3 linked regions of the Oryzias latipes genome follow. The protein of the gene in region 1 interacts with the protein of each later gene in a biochemical or structural test. Links are inferred from orthologs where the notes say so. Each region holds a gene or a part of one and is shown on either strand. Other genes may lie near its edges.

What was found. The genes of interacting proteins can lie anywhere in the genome.
Region 2: the proteins of rb1 (region 1) and e2f2 form a complex in vitro, tested with the Homo sapiens proteins (2 studies listed by BioGRID and IntAct, with this or other methods). The link is inferred for Oryzias latipes from reciprocal best matches to the Homo sapiens genes RB1 and E2F2.
Region 3: the proteins of rb1 (region 1) and myod1 form a complex in vitro, tested with the Homo sapiens proteins (2 studies listed by BioGRID). The link is inferred for Oryzias latipes from reciprocal best matches to the Homo sapiens genes RB1 and MYOD1.

The regions. Positions count from the first base shown.
Region 1 is NC_019872.2:15,932,942-15,939,169, forward strand, and holds the start of rb1 (retinoblastoma-associated protein), read right to left. Parts: upstream 3,947-6,228; 5' UTR 3,784-3,946; coding exon 3,674-3,783; intron 2,050-3,673; coding exon 1,929-2,049; intron 763-1,928; coding exon 659-762; intron 499-658; coding exon 364-498; intron 294-363; coding exon 255-293; intron 166-254; coding exon 116-165; intron 1-115. UniProt on the Homo sapiens protein: Tumor suppressor that is a key regulator of the G1/S transition of the cell cycle. The hypophosphorylated form binds transcription regulators of the E2F family, preventing transcription of E2F-responsive genes.
Region 2 is NC_019880.2:9,279,327-9,285,512, forward strand, and holds the start of e2f2 (transcription factor E2F2), read left to right. Parts: upstream 1-2,322; 5' UTR 2,323-2,810; coding exon 2,811-3,083; intron 3,084-6,186. UniProt on the Homo sapiens protein: Transcription activator that binds DNA cooperatively with DP proteins through the E2 recognition site, 5'-TTTC[CG]CGC-3' found in the promoter region of a number of genes whose products are involved in cell cycle regulation or in DNA replication.
Region 3 is NC_019864.2:6,431,686-6,437,718, forward strand, and holds the start of myod1 (myoblast determination protein 1), read right to left. Parts: upstream 3,865-6,033; 5' UTR 3,662-3,864; coding exon 3,074-3,661; intron 2,390-3,073; coding exon 2,308-2,389; intron 1,106-2,307; coding exon 882-1,105; 3' UTR 1-881. UniProt on the Homo sapiens protein: Acts as a transcriptional activator that promotes transcription of muscle-specific target genes and plays a role in muscle differentiation. Together with MYF5 and MYOG, co-occupies muscle-specific gene promoter core region during myogenesis.

The sequences.
Region 1 (6,228 bases):
TGTTCTACCAAATCTGATCAGCACTGAAGAGAAAGGAAGTGTGACATGGAAAAACAAGGATAACTGCTCACGCCTGCTTATTTTACTTGTTAACATGTTAAAAGGCCCCACTGACCTTTTGCCAAAAGAAACATTGTCCAGCAAGTACGCATGGTTGCCCTCTCCCTTGAAATAAAATGGATATTACATCAACAAATTACAAAAGGGTTAAAAAATAAAATAAATGGACAAACATCCAAGTTGAACTAACTTACTTTTTATCAGGGGTCGAAGCAAAGATTTTCTTGCACGTTCTGAAATAAATCAAGTGTATGTTTGGTTGCAATTGTTGCCAGAATTTCTTCTGCGGGTGTTTTCACTTACTTCTCAAACCTCTGGTAAAGAGCCAGCATCACATCGTACTTCTTCTCCACTCGCATCAGTGCTGAATTCACTTTAGTGCTTATCGTATCCAAGTTTACATCCAACTTTCTCACCAGGCCGACAAACTGTTTCACACTATAACACAAAAAATGTCTGGGTGAGAGGCCTTGCTTTACTCTGTGTCTTCAAAGCTTAACAGTGAATTTGTAGCTTAAGCCATTTAAAGCTCAAACAAGGTCTGAAACATGATTTTTTTTTTTACTTTATTTTATAAAATACTACTCCTGCTACTTACTTGATATTGACAGCTTTTAGAACTTCAGTCAGGGTAAAACAGGCGGCATCCATGTCTGTTGCAGTCACAAATAGACAAGAACCCCACAGTCTTTTCTGATTGGCCTAAAAAAATTAAAAGAAGGTAAATTACTTAATTCAATGTTTCAACAACTGCTGTCTGCTTTTAGATCAGTGATTAGAGGGTTTCTAAACATTTATTATAATTGTCTTTACTTTCATGTATCTATATTTACTCAGTGAGGGAGAGCTGAATAAATATCCACTTTTTGCTGCTATCAGTTTGTTACCTTTTTTATAATGCCTAGTAAGACTAAGAAATTGAAAATGTCTTGGATGACTTAACACTGCCTATTTTCATATAAGACTGTGGTGGATGTTTTTGGAATCCAAGTGCCTCAGGAATTTACTGCCAAAAAATGTAATACTCTGGATGACATAACTTTGGCATCGAGCAACACTTAAATAAACTCTAGTTCTTTTGTGCTTAGGTAAAATTGAGCCATAATAGTAAAAAAAAATGCACAGTGTTAAAGTAAACAAGTCTTTATTATATTCAAAAGGTTTCTGAAAATCCCAATTCTGATCCAGTTTGCGTCAAATCAAGCTCAGATGACAACTGGTACAAAAACAAAATATTTAATTTTATGAATCATTATTTCTTTAATCCAGAAAGAAATGTTCTGCTTTTTGATGTCAGACTGCATAATTACTGATTGTTATTAGACTTTCCACAATAAGGTCTTGTTTTGGCAGATTTTATATGTTATTTTTGTCAAAGCTACTAATAAATTCTACCTGGGTGATTCCATGACACCCTGGAGTCATGGTGTTACAATCTCCTTGTTTGTGCAAATATCTTAAGAAAAAACTTGCCGATAATTTTCTTTCCCATAGCAGAGATTTCAGTGTTTGCTTGTTTAATTGTCAGTCTTCATTATTTTTCTGTCATCTCTTTATTTCACTGGTTTAGGAACTTCTTTATTAAAGAAAGTTATGTGTTTGCGCTGTCATCAGACTCATTTAAATCCTTCAGATGGTTGATTAAAATGCATCTAAGTTTAAATGAAATATAAAAGCAAGTACATTTAGCTGGGGCACTTTGTTGTCACGTAAAGAGGAAAAAATAAGTATAATTGCTTGGTTGGCATTTGGTTTCAGACTGCATCAACCTGCCATCCCTTTTATTTTGATCTATAAATGTATCTTTGCTTTTACCATCAGGGCCCCAACATTACAAAGTGACAACTCGGACAGTTGGTTATACATACATCAACATCTTCCATCACATCCTGTACAGTTTTCCACAAAGTCCACGCGCGCTCACACACGGAATCCGTGGCGTGGAGGCTCTTACACAGGGTCACAAACTCCACATCCTTCTCTGTGTGTCTTCAGAAAGGAAAACAAACGTCAGAAAATCAGATTATATAGCAGTGAAACCTTCTAGACTATTTTCTAAACCACATGATTTCCTGTTATTTGTAGATGAAACTTGTTAAAACCAGTGATGAAAGTCAGGTAAGGAAAAAATCCCTGAACTTTTCTTTGAGCGATATGGCGGGCACAGAGCAAAATTTTGGAAAAATACGTGGTCTTAGATGCATTCTGGTGCATTCTGGCAACTAGTTATTCACTTCTTTATCAAGAAACTAAGACTAATTGGAGCATCATGATTTGTCATTCAAACCCCTAGTTTGACTCTCCATTAAGGACTTGCTGGTCCCAAAAAAGAATTTGGAAAATTGCTCAAAGTAACACAATCCTACAATCTACGCTTTTCCTTAAAGCTGCAAAACATACAATTGCTAAAATATAGTAACATCAAAGCCCCAAATGGCAAAAAGAACACCAGTAACTATGATATTCTATGAAAATACCTCAGTTATTTATACATTATTTCTGCTTTAGAAATGACTGATGTACAACATCCACTTGCACTGTTTTCTCAAACTATAATTACATCAAAATATGGGATCTGCTTTAACTATAATTCTATAACATAATACATCAATTCTTTAACACCAATACTAAGTAATCTGGGAAATATCAAAACAAACATACAAACTAAGCTAAACATTGTAAACATTATTTTTTAAGGGAGTGCGGGTCCAAACCATCAAATACTTGTAATTAATGTCAACTATACTGAACTAAATCATGGTAATTAGGAAATACAAATAAATTAGATAAAGAAATGTATTCAAAATAAAAACTGAAACTCAAAACTAAAATTGAAATTATTTCAAAATGTGGTTTTGAGATTATTTTACACAAAAAAGTATTTGACCTACACTACCTTAAAAATCTTTTTTTTCCAGCCAAGACCACTTCAATTTGTTTTTTATCGTCTTCTCACAACTGAGGTCGTGACCACGCTCAATAATGACGATGCCTGCCATTATTTTAACACAAATTTTATCGCAAACTCTTCAGATGTGTTTGTGAAAGTTTAGCGTGGGTCCGCCAGTTTTGGTCTCTAGGGAAGCGAGTCACGCTGACCACGTGGTGCAGACAGAGCCAATCAGACCCGTCGACGCATCCGAAAGCAACTAAAACGGCCCGTCATTGGTCAATTAGGCCGGGAAGACGAGAGATGGCCACGACCATAGAGGAAGCGATCTGCGGAGAAATATAGAAAATAAAGCTAAAATTAGCTGATTTCAGACCATTTTTTAATCCGGAAAGCGATTTGTCCGTAGAGATCAGGTCTTTATTTCCCGGAAAGTACGTTCGGTTTGCTCAAAAACCCGGATTTCCGGGAATTCCCGGAAGACTTTCATCACTGTAAAACTATGCTGCTGGTTGTGTGGATTGCGACATTCATTGTCAGTACTACTGTAGGGGTACAATGTTGTTAGCCTCGCGGTGGCTAACTCTAACGGTTCGTACACAAGCTACTCATGAAAATACTCCTTCAAAGCCCGTTTTTTGTGTCAGTGAGTAAAGAGCGTTTTAATGTGTATACTGGGAATCTGTTGTCCCCTTCCGAATGGCGACTGTTAACTTATCTTACTTGTTCAAAGAAAACTCTGGACTCCCCTTCTTGTCTGCAAAGCTTTTGTCAGAACTCGGCTTCGGCTCCTTGCTCTGTGCCGCTCCCGAGTTGCGTTTTTTAGGCGGCATATTGGAGTGGTTACTTTTCAGAAAAATGTGTACACCTTTTTGTACTTTTGTTTAAATCGGCAGCTAATGTATTTAGAGTTTAAAGCCCACTCAGTAAATTCAATGGCAACAATACAACAAAATCTGACATACTTCCTGGAGCCGTGCTTCAGTGTATGCTCGTTTTATTCAAAGGAATTGCCCCGCAGGGAGGTTATGTCGTAGCGTTTGCAAACGTTCTTTACACTGTGATAATATATCTGAATAAAATACCCTATTTTGAATTTAGATTTAAGAATATTATTTCTAAAGAAGTCAAAGCTAATTTTACTATTAAACTGTACTCTAAATCATATCAGACACCATTTTTTTAGTTCACACAGATCACATGACAGCACTTGAGTTAAATAAAACAAACTGACAGTACAAAAGCGCGGGAAAATACAGACGCAATTTCCGCTTGTTTGCGCATGCACCACAATCGAAACAAAGTTAGCACGTCTGTCAATGGCAATGACGTTGATTGTATAACAAAAACATATTTTCCTTACATCGAAAATAATAATAATTTACGTTTGAACCTTTTTTCCATTCCTGGTGGTTAGCGTACCTACAATCTAATCTGTGGTTCACTTAGTTTGAGCTCGGGTCATAATAAAAAACAAGATTAATTAAATCAAATCAAACTTTATTTATAAACCACTTTTTAATTTTAAAAGAATAACATACAGTTCTTTAAATTAAAACAAAATAAATAGTACAAAAACAAGCATGAAAATTAAAATAAATAAACACAAAAATTAAAAAATAGGGCCCCCTTCCTGTACCTACACACAGCCCCCCACTCCTTTCACACCTCCCACCCCCTAAACTGATGGGGAAAGACAATAATGAGAAATAGGCTGAGCACGAAAACAAGATGTTTGAATCGTTTGAACCTCCCTCTCTCTGAATAGCTGCATAGCCAGCCAAAATGCAGCATCACAGGCGGGGACCGCTCCACCACAGCTAAGTGGGGATGCAGGTCCCCATCTAGAGCTGCATCTAGAGGGAGAGGACCCAACTGAGGTCCTGACTAATAGTAGTAGTAATAAAAATGTATTAATGTTTTGACTTTGATTACTACTATGATTGCTACACAATACTATTAATGAAACTATTATTATTATTAATACTCCAACTCTATGGGGTTTTTTTTCAAGCCGTGGTGGTGGGGGATCCTTTTGGTTGAATCTCCTGTGTCTGTTGGGTCGTTTTCCTTGGTTTTCAGGGCTTTTTGTACCTTTTGAGTTTCATTCTAATCTTTGTTGCGATTAAAATGTGGTCTTGAGTACACACTTTGTGTGTGCTAAGGCCAGAATTAATGTATATCTAATAAAGGAAATCAAATATGAGATGTGTTTAATATATACATATACCCTCTGGCCTTTTTGAAGCTTTATGCAAATTTTACTGATAATCAAACAGATCTATGGTTTGTTTAGATTGTTTACGCATTAACCACAGTGACAAGATGCAGTTGCTGTTTAGAAGAATCCCACTTTTATTATCACTGACATGTCTGTTTTAGGGACTTGAAGCAATGGTGAAGCCATTCAGCATCTTTGGGACCAATACATATGATTTTGTTTGGCAGCTCAGCTCATCCCCCTGTGCAGTTCACATCCACACACATCCACATAACCATGCAGAGAATATCTTTATCTTTTTGGTTTGGCTTTATGGACCCCATGTGGCTTACTATGCATGTTCTCTGCACTGGCTTCATGAGCTGCACACATATTCCAAGCAAACAGAAGCTGAGTTGACCTCCTCTCTTGCACATTATTCAGTCATAAAAAGTACTGTATTTTTGTTTTTAACTCTTAGTGCTGCGAAATACTTTAATGTACATTTTTTTCAGTGACTGAAGTTGGTGAAATTAATATCTTCCAAAGAGAACAGAATATGATAAATAATATTAATTTATTTTATATGAAGCAATCTAATGAAACATTTAAGGTCTATTTTCAACTTTGTTGGATTGGCTTCATTGCTTTTACTTCTGCTGTTGTATTTTATTTGAATTTCTTAAATACTTCTGGACAATGTAAGTCTCTGAAATAATTAAAGTGACTCAACATTAATATCCACCTGAGTTAGTCTTTCTTAATGCTCCTCTGCACTTTTTTATATAGTTAAAAGCTTGAAATAAATGTTCAGTTCATTTCTTCAATATTTAATGTTTAGAATGTTTAATCCAAAGGCATTTTTGCATTAGGTTACACATATGTGCACATAAAGTTTGGGAAAATCTTGTCCACCAGAGAGTGTAACTTGTTCGTTGACAATGTGAAAAAAAGTACTTTGCTATTTATTTATTTTTACTTCCTATTTACAATACTGTTCTTTATTTGCATTTATTGTTTCTGAAAAATGTCAGAACTGTCTTCCTTGGTGGAGACATCTTAAACTTCCATCAGAGGG
Region 2 (6,186 bases), on another chromosome or scaffold:
TGTGTACCTTTCAGGGTCACGGGGCTGCCAGAGCCTGTCCCAGCTCTGTTGGACGAAGATGGGGTACAGTGTGAGCAGGTTGCAAGTCTGTTGCAGGGCCACACAATCATACACACACTCACATGCACACCTAGGAGCAATTTAGAGGAATCAATTAGCCTTTTAGCCCATGAACCATGGTTTTGGACAGTGGGAGGAAGCCTGAATACTGAAGCGCCATCGTTACATAACACACGTACAAAGTCAAGTGCACAAGGAGAACATGCAAACTTCACACAGAAGGGTCTCATCAGGGATTTGAACTAGTGCCTTCCTGCTGTGAGATGAGAATGCTAACCGCCAATCCACTGTGTACCCTTTCTTAGACCTCTCATAAATGCAAATAGACTATTTTAGAAAAGTCACAGGTTATCCAGCAAAGGAATCCCTGAAACTGAAAGCATTTCAAAGAATCTTTGGGCGGATAGACTTAAGTTAGTGGTCCAGCACAAAGGGCGTCCCTGACTCAATGTGAGCTTTCTGTCAGCAGAATGACTGAACCAAAGCTCTGGGAGGCTAAAATCCTTTAGTTTTCAAACTGAAAAAAGGATGACTAAATAAAGAGATAACAATACTTTTAAAGCAGCATCCTATAGTTCTGACCTGAACACAGCAATTGCAAAATGACTGTCAATGGTTAAAAATTTATAATAAATGCTTAATCAATTATGCAAGATGGTTAAATTGATTTTTCTAATAATATTACTTCATTTGCTCCAAAAATTTAAAAATTGATTCATGATTTTTCTTAATGTGACATAATTTTGCATATATTGTAACTTTTAAAACTTGAGAATTTCTTTCTATGAAGACTTTTGAAACAGTGTTCTGTCTATTTTACTGATATAGTATTTTTATTAATCATATACATGACTTTTTTTTAAGTAACATAATTGCATATATTTTGGATAAATGATCTGCAATTGCCATGTTGATTTCTAAACGTTATTTTTTACATAATAATTTAAGTAATTAATCTTTGTCATGTGCTTAATTGATACCTCAGGATTCTTAATTCTGTCTGATAAAAGCTAGGAGCCGGATATTGATAAATCATGTAATAAAATGGTTACGGTAGATTAGGGGTGGGATTATATAAATTTGCTTCCTTCCACTCCCTTTCAAGCAATATTTATTATGCCTAATTATCATAAGTTTGGTTCGCCATTGTATGAATGTATAACTGGTGATTGTATTGTTTTTGTGTATGATTCCAATTTGATTGCTTGAAATAAACCATTAAAAAAATTGTACCAAATGACTAAACAACTCCAAAGTTTTACTGTAATAAAACCCAACTGACGCAAGTAGAAAACATGATGCCGGCTTAGTCCAGTTTAGAAGGCATGTTTTTTACCTACAACTTTTCAATGTTGCACATATAATTTTATTGGACAAATGAAAACACATCAACAATCCTCCATGATGACCAAGAACTAAGATTTCAAGTCACAACTTCAGTTTTAGGTCAACAACACTAGGCGTTTATCTGATTACCCGCGACTTTTTATAGGTTTTATTGGAAGAAATTCCACTCTTTAAAGACGTACCGTCCATGGGAGGCTTTAGGTCTCCTCGTTCTTGGCCAATAGGGGTCAAGTCATCTGGCTTGGGTTTGGTCGCCAAAGATGGGGGAGGGGGTGTTTTCTTTCAATATCTTTTGTGAGCCAATAAGCAAGAGTGGTGAATCCAATTATCATGTACAGACAATGCAGGGCTGCCCCTTGCTGTGTGCCACTTTCCTTATTTTAGGAAATACGTTTACAAATGTGTGCTCTATTGTCACCAGAAATATAAATTCTGAAGGAAATGGAGTTCTTTTAATAACTAAATGACACTTTTTACAACTATTTTGGGATCTATTTTAGTAAATATGTACAATTCAAAGTTAATATTTGTTTGAACTACAATTTCACATTTAGTTGCATTCCTTTTGTCGTACTAATAGTCATTTTAGTCCATTTTAATTTGGATTCATACTCCAAATTGTAAAAGTTTTGAGTAGTTTGACTTTAAATGTAGTATTTTTGCTTGTATTTGGTAAAGTTAAGTGCTTAAAATTAGTTTCTTAATATTGGTTTTTTTTGTTTCTGTAACAAACAGTTCAAGTGAGACAGCTTAAGGCGCGTGTGGAGAATTCGTGTACTGTCTCTTTAAGAAAACCAGGCCCTGCCCCGAACAACTGTTTTATGCAAATATGACAAGCCGAGCGTGCCACCAGCCAATCAGGGGCGCTCTACAACCGCGGGAGATCCGAATTTCGCGGGACGGAGTTTGGCGCTAAAAAGACTATTCAGCTGCAGCTCCTGTCGCGTTGAATGGAGAAGGGGCACCCCGAGGTGGACTGACGGCAGCCGCACACTGGGTCGGAATCCGCAGTCGGAAGGACTCACCAGAAGTTCTAGCGTTTGTCCCCGAGACGCATTTTCGAGTCGAACTTTAAAGTCCCGCATGTTTGAAGAAACTAATTTATATTCGGAATCGTTTTTGGATCTGGTAAGACAAGTTAAATACGACTTATAAAAAAACGAACTAAGAAGAGGAACGAATCTATCAACGATTATTATTAGGAAACAGCGTCATATTGCGGATTTAATTCGTGCATTTTATTTTGAAAATATTAATTTAGTATTTGCAATTCTTTCTTCTTTTGTCGACGTCTTCTTCGGGGATAATATTATTCTCTAAAGCCGGTGATCGTCGCGCTGGCCCTAACGGCGCGCTTCTCTCCCCGCTTGACCAATCCGGTAATTGAGGTTTTCCTCGGGAAAATGATGCGGGTGCCTAAAGGCGTCTCTCCGGCTTCGGTTCGGCCAGCAGTGGCGCTCGCCTCCCAGCAGAAAATGAAGGTTTTGTCGTCCGGAGGAGTGAAGAGCGACTTCTTCAGCACCGGACTGTCCAGCCCGCCCATGCACGCGGTACCGATCGGGTATTTCACCCAGATCGGTAACACGGCTGCGGCCGAACAAAGAGCCAACAGCCTGTATTCAACCCCCCACGGCCCCGAGGCTAAACCCATCAGATCATCCTCCGGGCGGCTGCCGGTAAGGAGCATTTCTGCAGCTCATTTTTCTCTTATGAACAAGGGATTTCTTGTGCCCATGTGGGAGGAATAATGCATGATTTCCATCGGCATGCGCAGTTTTGCAATTATGTTTTGACGCGATAAGCCACAGAGGGGCCTTTTTCCCCCATGTGTGTGCATCTCTCCACGCAGTCCAGCTGTATAGCTGGAGCAAGCCAGTGTGATTGTTTTTGATGTGGCAGATAAAGAGGAAGGGGCCCCCAGTTTGATCTTGTTTAGAGGTCCCTTGCGAAAAAATGTAGGATGAGTGGCCCCCTATACTGCAGTGAGTCAGGATGGCTTACAGACCAGAAGACAATACTGAGGGCATGGCTGTGCTGGTTGGAGGCATTATTTCCCTTACTCCTGCATTTGCAGACTACACCCAGAGACAGCTGCTCCATCTGCACCTGTCAGTTAACCAGTGCTGGACCTGTGTAACCTGTTCATGCAACTGCAGGAAGCAGGGTGTCATGAGTGAGCAACTGTTTGCTTTCCCCACAGAGCTTTTTGATTGAGGAAAAAAAAAAAAAAAAACTTCCATTCACTATGTTTCCTAAAGGATTATGCTGTTGATCTGCTGTGGATTCTGATCCACATGCATGCTGCCACTTCTATTAAAATCTCCCATCGTTCATTTAGTTGTTGGAGAGTGTGCAGGCTCTTCAAATCTCACGCTGACCCCTTGGCCCAGGAGCGTGGATCCACTAATAGGCCCTCCAAGAGGATTACTTGGACAGTTAGAAATAGGCTACCACCTGGCTTATCATATGTTGAGGTGATTTTACTGTTCAAGTTTGCGTTTTTACATCTCATAAAGGCATTCTTCTTCCTCATCCAGCATTAACACCAAGTTTATAGCTAAGTCTTAAAAAATACACCAGGATTTATAGGTTTTGTCTCCATAGATATTGTGTTTATTCTGTAAAACAATGATCATTTTTAACATTTTTCCATGTGTGCATGCTTATTTCAACAGTAATAGAAGAACTTTAGAGTAAAACGTTTTCGGAAACTCATATCGTTGGCTCTTTTTTTGTATAATTGGGAGATCTTAGATTCTAAGATGTTTATAAATGTGTATTATAATGAGTTATAAAAAATAAAGAAAAATCAATGCAACACAATTTCTGCAGAAATGACACATTTATAAACACACGATGCCTCTTCAATGAAGTGTCATCATAAATTTCACACCTTTACTGTCATTATATTGTAATTATCAAGTGAAGATGCGCAGATTTTCTCCATTGAGGGTTTATTTGCACTTGATCTGAGCCGCGGTGTTGTTTGAAGCGATCTCCTGGAAACTGGGTTTTGCCATCACAGCTGCTTGGGTGCAGGCCTTGTGTTTACAGGAACTGCTGCATATGCAGCACACTTCCTTTAACAACAAAATAACCACCACTCTTTTGCATTTCTGCCTCATAAACGGAACCCTAGCCCTGAGATCCCATAGACTCAACCTTTCAACACTCTGTAGACGACATGTACAAAAAAATAACATCCTTAAGTTGATTTTGAACAGCTTTTGTTGACTTTAGCTGCAGATGTCTCACATTTATGTACCAATCATGCTGTGTAGTAAACGTCAGTGCATCATTGACTTTTAACCAGGGTGTGGAGACAGTTCAGAGTGTTATGAAATAGAATTTCCTTTTGGGCTTGATGATGATGCAAAATGTGTTACAGTCTTCAGGCCATCACTCTAAAGGTCATGGCTGGTCTTTCACTTGGAGTTTTCAGATGCCCCGCATGCATCCATTTGTCTACTCAGGATACCCCTGACAAAAATACATCACAGTTTATCCACACAATTCCAAACCAGGAACTGTCATGTTCATGTAGTTTAGTCAAAATCTTAAAAAGAAATACAATAGATTAATTTTACACCATACATTTACAATACTGTTTAGTATTAAGGGATGCTTCAACCTAAATTCTACATTTTGATCTGCATGCAGAATCCTTGCTAATGTTTTTAGGAATGCTTCTCTTGCAGTTTGGTCATTAAAGACCCACCTCAGTGGTGTTTTTAACATGTACTTGTGGCATTTGTCTGATTATAGAGGACATATATAAAGAAAATTAACTTTAAAATAGCATTTCTGAGTATTTATTTATTCAAATCGTTGTGAATCAGGAGCCCACGATAAAATGTAGTTTGAAAAAGAGCTTAATTGTGATGTCGAAGATGCACTGGGCAGGTCACAAGCTGTCATCAACAGGAAGGAAAGGGGGGTCGGGGTTGCTCTGCGCCAATGATCCCGCCCACAATCAGAAAGGAATTTCTAATGAACCCCTGCGGCTCTGTAGAAACTATGTCCTTGAAAATGGACAGTTTTTGTTTTTCCATTTGACCAAAAGATGAGCGGAGTGGGACTTTAAAGGTTAAGGCATCGTCTTAACCTGGATTGGTAGTTACCTTCAAATTCACTTTGAAAAAAAGAAATGTTACAAAGCCGATTGTTTTCTGGGGAGTTAAAAAATAAAACGTTCATTTAAGCCTTTTTTTTATTGTGAATTTTCAGAAACAAATAGAACTGAAATTTTAACTCCCCATTTTGACTTCAGCTTTCGTTTTAAGCCGTGGAGGGTTTATAGGGAAAGGTAAACTTGGATTGGCTGTAGGATTCTGCATTCCGGATAGAATGTAATATGTTTGTAGCAGCTAATTAAAGCACTAGGGTGTAAAGAAAATTGTTGCAACCACTCAAAATCTCTTGTATTTTGTAGTATGTCTGCCTTGATGGGATGCAAACTGTTAAGAAGGACAACTTTTTTGGTCAAATGCGTGTCTTTCTACCTGGTAGGAATGTACCCTTCTATAAATAGCTTTAAGTTGCTTTCTTCAAGCCCCTGTGGTTAGCGTCTCAATCACGCTGCTGCCAGAGTCATTTGTCACATTTTCATTTGCATTCCTCCCATCAGCCACCTTCTTTTGCCTCAGGTCAGCCCGACCCCAGGCGCATTACGCCCTTACGGGGTTTTTGTTCTCATCGCAAAGCTGTATTCCCATCCAGGAATGGATTTGCTTTGCCCTGTCAGCACTGACAAACAACAAATTAGCTCGTTTCCATGTA
Region 3 (6,033 bases), on another chromosome or scaffold:
AAATCAGCTCTTATTTACATTATATGTACAGAATCATGGTCCTCAGAGGCTGAAAATGAAAGACTAAAGGCTGGTGGAGGTTTCATCTTCTGAACCAGCACTCTCATTACTGGTTTTTCTTTTCTTTTATTGTGCACATGAATGCACAACAATATTGTGGTGTTGCTGCTTGATGATTTTTTTTAGAGAGAAGAAACCTGCAGGCCTGAAGGACTCTGAAGCGTCACCGGCTTCCATTTGGCCTCCATTTTCAAATGAATACAGAAAACAAGACTTAAATATTTTTGCATAACTTAAAATAAAAATTCAACAAAAACGGAAACCGCCTGTTTTCAGGTGAATTCCTCTGTATTACCAGCATTACAGTTTTTACTCTGAATTCTTTCACATGTTTTTAAGCAGGAAAACAGAAGCTCATTTCTGCTGGAAAATATGCCTGTCTGGGAATGGTAAAATCCACCTGCAATAAACTTATTTCATATTTTATCTCCAGATATTCTGGTTTAGATGATCTGTTTTCAATTATTTCATTTAAAAAAACTGAGACTTTTGTTCCCCTTTTAACTCCCTTTTTAAAATAAAGACTTCATTAAGACATTTTTCATTTTTTACAAATCCACATTTCATGTTTTTCATCAGTGCGTGTTGTTTGAAACTGATAAGATATCAATTCAGGAAAAAAGAAGACTGAACAAAAAAACGAACAAAAAACAAATACTATTTTCCTGGCAGGAATGAGCCTCTAAAGGTTAAGAAGACCACAGAAGTTTTGAAAATGTTAAAAAGAATCTGCAGAGCCAAACTAATTAAACAGTTTCCATGTCTGTGAGCTCATTTCCACACGGTGCCACAGCATTGCTGTTCATCAAGGGTGTCAGGGTCTATAGATCCTGATAGATCAGGTTCGGGTCTTGGCTGGAGGCCGGAGAAGAGGTCGGAGCGGCCCGAGGGCCGCGCTCTGTCTCACTGAGCGCAGCGGCGGCCGGGGAGGCAGGAGCATCGGCCGTGGCTGGGAGGCAGCTGCTGTCGGTGGAGATCCGCTCCACAATGCTGGACAGGCAGTCCAGACTGGAGACGACGGAGCTGCGGTCATTCCTGTGGCCTCCTACGGCAGAAAACACCGTCAGTCAAACATGATTCAAACTAGACTGTGAGGTCACTCCTCTATGTGTGAATAAAACCTGTAAACAGCTGTGTGCAGACTATTTATTGGTGTGTGTGTGTGTGGGTGTGTGTGTGTGTGTGTGAGAACCAAGTCATGCAGTTTACTTATGACACTCTTGACTCTGTATTATCCACTGCTCCCCCACCCCCCATCTCTAACATCCACTCTCTCTCTTCTTGTTTTCCGTCCGGTCCAACAAAGAATGCATATAAACATAATTATTATGAATAAAGCCTAACCTCAAATACATAAGGGGTTTACACCAATTGATACCATTGTCCAGGGAAATACTCGATTCTGATTGGCTGCTGGGTGTGGATAAAAATGTGTTAATGTACATCTAAAAAGCAGTTCCGGTCACATATCTTAAATGTTCTGTATCAGAATCTTTAGCTTCATCATCTGGACAAAAATGATCAGTGACAGGAGAACTTTCTCTCTGAACTGATGCTTTATTCAACCCATCGTGATCATCAGCATAGATATCACTTTCCTTTGCCGCACCACTCGAGGTTGGCTAAGTGGCATGTTACTGTGACAACAGGCTGCACCGCATGACAAATAGTTCGCTTTTGTGAAAAAGCAATCTAAACCGTAAAAATGACCAGAATAAAGTACTGGTTGACTATTTATTTATTTTGAAAGTCACCATGGTATAAGTGAGTAGATTTACTTCAAAGTGTTCATATTTTTAATGCACTTTGCAGTTCAACGCAGGCTTACACGGCAAGCGTTAATAATGCACCCTTTGAAGGATATTAACCCCTAAATAAATTGTGTTTGTCTAAAGATCCATAAAGTCCTGTTGTAAAAGTAAAATTTGTCCAACACAAGAGGCCTTCAGCTCTGACATACTTGCTCAGCTGTAAATATAGATATAGATATATATCTATATATATATCCTTTTTCTCATTTATAGAATTTATAGAGAATGTCATTGTTTTCTTTAACCTCATGAAAACTAAATTTATTTAGCAAAAATAAAAGCACATCTTTGGCTTCATGAACAGATTTAGTTAGATTGCAAACGCTTTATCATTTCAGATGAGCAATGCTGTCGGCTGGTTAAAGCGCAAATCGGATCTTTCCTGTGTAAAATGTTGGCGCGTGACGCGGCCCCCTCTGGCCCGCGCGCAGCTCACCGTTCAGAGCCTCGGAGAAGTAGGAGCCGCCGTCATAACTCCCCTTTTGCGTCGTCTGACACCTCGGTCCATTAAAGTCAGTCTGGAATAAAACACAATGCTTTTTTTAGAGCACGCCAAAAGAGTAAATAAAACACAATTTACACAATGTCACATTTTTGAAATATCAACACAAGGGATATTTTCCGATAGTAAACACTCGTGTATTTTTAAACTGGAATATATATATATATATATATGGGCTTTCTTTGAACAAACAAGCACAAAACAGCAGCAACAATATTATTATTTCATCTTCCTGAGTGTTTCGCACGCGTTATAAAAGGAAATTTGTCAAATAATAGAAATCCTAATGACGGGACTCGTATGTTTTATGAAGGAAATTCGTTTGAATAAATCCGGATGTTTGGTGCAAATTATAACCGATTTTTATTCAAGCAGCGAACTGCTCCAAACGACGCTGTCAGTCTATTCAAGAAATACGTAAAAAAGATTTTCACGATTAAAAAAAAAAAAGAAAAGGTTTTACGTTTAAAAATCTTATTTTCGGGAGAGGTAGTAACTGGTAATCCTCTGAATTAACTGAGTAACGCGCCTGTATAATCGAATCTAAAACGGTGAAAGTTGCCTTTCCTTTTTCTTTTCTTTTTTACTGAAGTTTTGTAAAAACTTGTGCCGTCATGAAACGACTAACTAAGTCAAGACTCCATGCGTAAAGACGCGCTGTAGCTCCAGCCTTCGCAGCTTGTCCGAACAGCGGACTCACCATTCCGTCAGAGCAGTTGGAGCGGGGGCTGGACGCGTCCGAGTCCCCGCTGTAGTGCTCCAACACCGGGTAGAAGCCATCCTCCTGGCCGGCGCGCAGCAGCGCCTGCAGGGACTCGATGTAGCTGATGGCGTTGCGCAGGATCTCCACCTTGGGCAGCCTCTGGTTGGGGTTGGCTGACGTGCAGCGCTTCAGCGTTTCGAAGGCGTCATTGACCTTGCTGAGGCGCCGGCGCTCGCGCAGCGTCGCTGCCTTGCGTCTGTCTGCGTTGGTGGTTTTCCGCTTGCAGGCTTTGCAGGCCCACAGCAGGCAGCGGCCCGCCTGGTGGTGGCCACTGGGCGCACGGACGTGCTCATCGTCCTCCACCTCCGCGCGCTGGTGCACATGGAGGACGGAGGACGGGGAGGAGGAGGACGAGCAAGGAGAGGATGAGGGGGAAGAAGAGGAGTCATCCGGCTTCAGCAGACCGCCATGGACTAGCCGTGGGTCTAGGTCCTCGAAGAAGTGCATGTCACTTGTGTTAAAACAGGGGTCATCATAGAAATCATCAGCAGCCGGGATGGGGAAAGGAATATCCGACAGCTCCATGACCCGGTCCAAAACAGGCCCGCAGAAAAGAAATACTGAGATCAACGGGCCGAGCCGAGCTATCCAGCAAACCGAAGAGAGACTCGCGATCCGCGGGTCCGGTAATGTGGGTCCTGTCAGGAGTTTTGAACTGGACTACTGCTGACCTGAAGCCTCTTATACCTGGCACATCAGCAGCAGGCAGGGGGGCCAAGGGGTCAGAGGAGTGTGACCAATCGGTGGGCAGCTGCAGGGGTGTGCGTGTGTGTAAGTGGAGGGGTTACAACTGCACGGTAATTAGAGGCCTGCAGTTAACGGAACAGCTAAAGGAAGGCCGCACACGCATTTCCGCCTTACACACCCGTGTTCAAGCGCCTCTTTGAATGCGCACACACCAGAATTTGGGGCTGTGGCGTCTGGAAGGCTAGCGGTCGCACATCACCAGCAGGTTTTTAAGTTGGGTGCGGAGCCTACAAACAAATCAAGCGTTCGTTGGTCGCGCGCTGAAAGTTCAACCGGTTGAACTTTTTCACGCTGAATCTCAGCAACGCAGCGCTGTGACCAATCAGAAATTAGGATTTGATAGTGTTTGTAGCGTCTTTTCAAGAAACAGTTATCAACCGTTGTAAACATGATCACTAAGGAGAAATGAATAATTGCGGTTTGTTTTTGGCCGGAATAAAATGACACCAAGATGGACATTTATAGGAACAGATCTGTGAAAACAAAAAGGCTGGAGCAAGATTTGAGGGAATTGAACCGCTTTGATTTTGCAGATCGAACCTCTTCCAATAAGTTGATTTAATTACAATAAATATATTGTAGGTGGCGGAGGAGCGCTGATGAAAAGAAGAACCGCCCCTGCAGGTACCTGCGTGTCTGGCGCTGGTCCGTCCGGTCTGTACACCGAATGAGTGTTCATGAAACTGCGTGGAGCGCGCTCTGGAACGCACCTTCACATGCGCACACACCACTCTTTTTTTTGTTTTCATTGTAAGTAGGAAAAATGAGGCAATTCAGAATGTCAGAGACAAATGAAATGTTTGCACTGAAAGAAAAGACTGTCAGCAGAACATTTAATGAGCAGCAAGAAATGTGTGAAAAGCTGGCAATGCAAGACGAGCTTTGGTTGTTTTTAGAGCTATTTTGAAAAACAAATGAAGTCTCTTTTTTTTTTAAAAAACACCACAAAGTTGTTGTTTTAATGGAGAAAAATGGCATGAAAAAAAGGTTTTGCTTTCCCATATTCAAAAAGTCGGTATTTATTCTAAACTACAACAATAGTTGTGAAAATAATGCTAACTGAGTGTCTCTGTGCTTTGGTTTTCATGTATTCACATCAATTCTACTCAGAAATGATCTTAATAATTTTCAAAATCTACTTTTCTTTTTGTTATTTGCACATATTTACGTAGGACCAGACAGAAAAACACTTAATATGTGCGGCCAAGAGACACATTGTGGTGTTGATCCCCCCCACACATTCGCATTGCGTCTCAGGGTAAATGTTGTCGTCAGTGGCGGACTTTAGAGTTCGGAGGCCCCTGGCGAATAACAACGGTTGTATTTTATTTTTTAAATCCTTACATTTAGGGTAAAACATAAGAGAACTTTCTAGCTCTGTTATGGAGTTCAACAACCCAGATTACAGATATCCAGCTTGACTCCTCCTCTTGACATCAATTTTTTTACCCAGAAGCGTCGCTCAGCAGGGACTCTAGTAGGCGTGGTTACGTCATCACATGTCGAGCACATTGACTGTCAGCAGTCGAGCTGTTTGTTAAGACCAGACATTGTTGCCAGTGTGGGCTCATTGTTGTGATGGGAATCCTGGATCGGCTCACTAAAAAGAGCCTCTCAGCTCCCAAAAGACTTTTTTGGTTTTTGTTGCTTTATTTCAGTCAGAATGAAGCATATAAGATGAATAAGTGTAAAAAAAAAGTTGTTATTCATACATGTGTATGATATGTATGTTATTTATTCCTTCCAGATAAAACGTGCAAAAAAACAAAAAAACAAAACCAGCTGTTTACAATTCAACTTTTAATTATTTATATTTTTATCTTGCTCTTATTAAACAAGTTTGAAGCGAATCAACACAATCCGGAATAAAAGTAAAGATGTGCAAGCCGAAGAAAAGACTAAATATTTGGCATTTAGAAATTCCAAATGTCTATCAAGTTATATTTACGCCACCACATAGCAAACAAAACTTTCTAAGCTGCAAATGAAAATATTAAATATTTGCTTTCACATACTTTTTCTTTGCTTTCAAAAAATTTTTTTGCGTGTCATAGGTTTCAGCTTAGCGTGACATAGCTGCCATATGTCACACTAAACTGAAAACGCGAGACATTTTTAAAAGCAAAAAAAAGAAAGCGAAACCAAAAAGT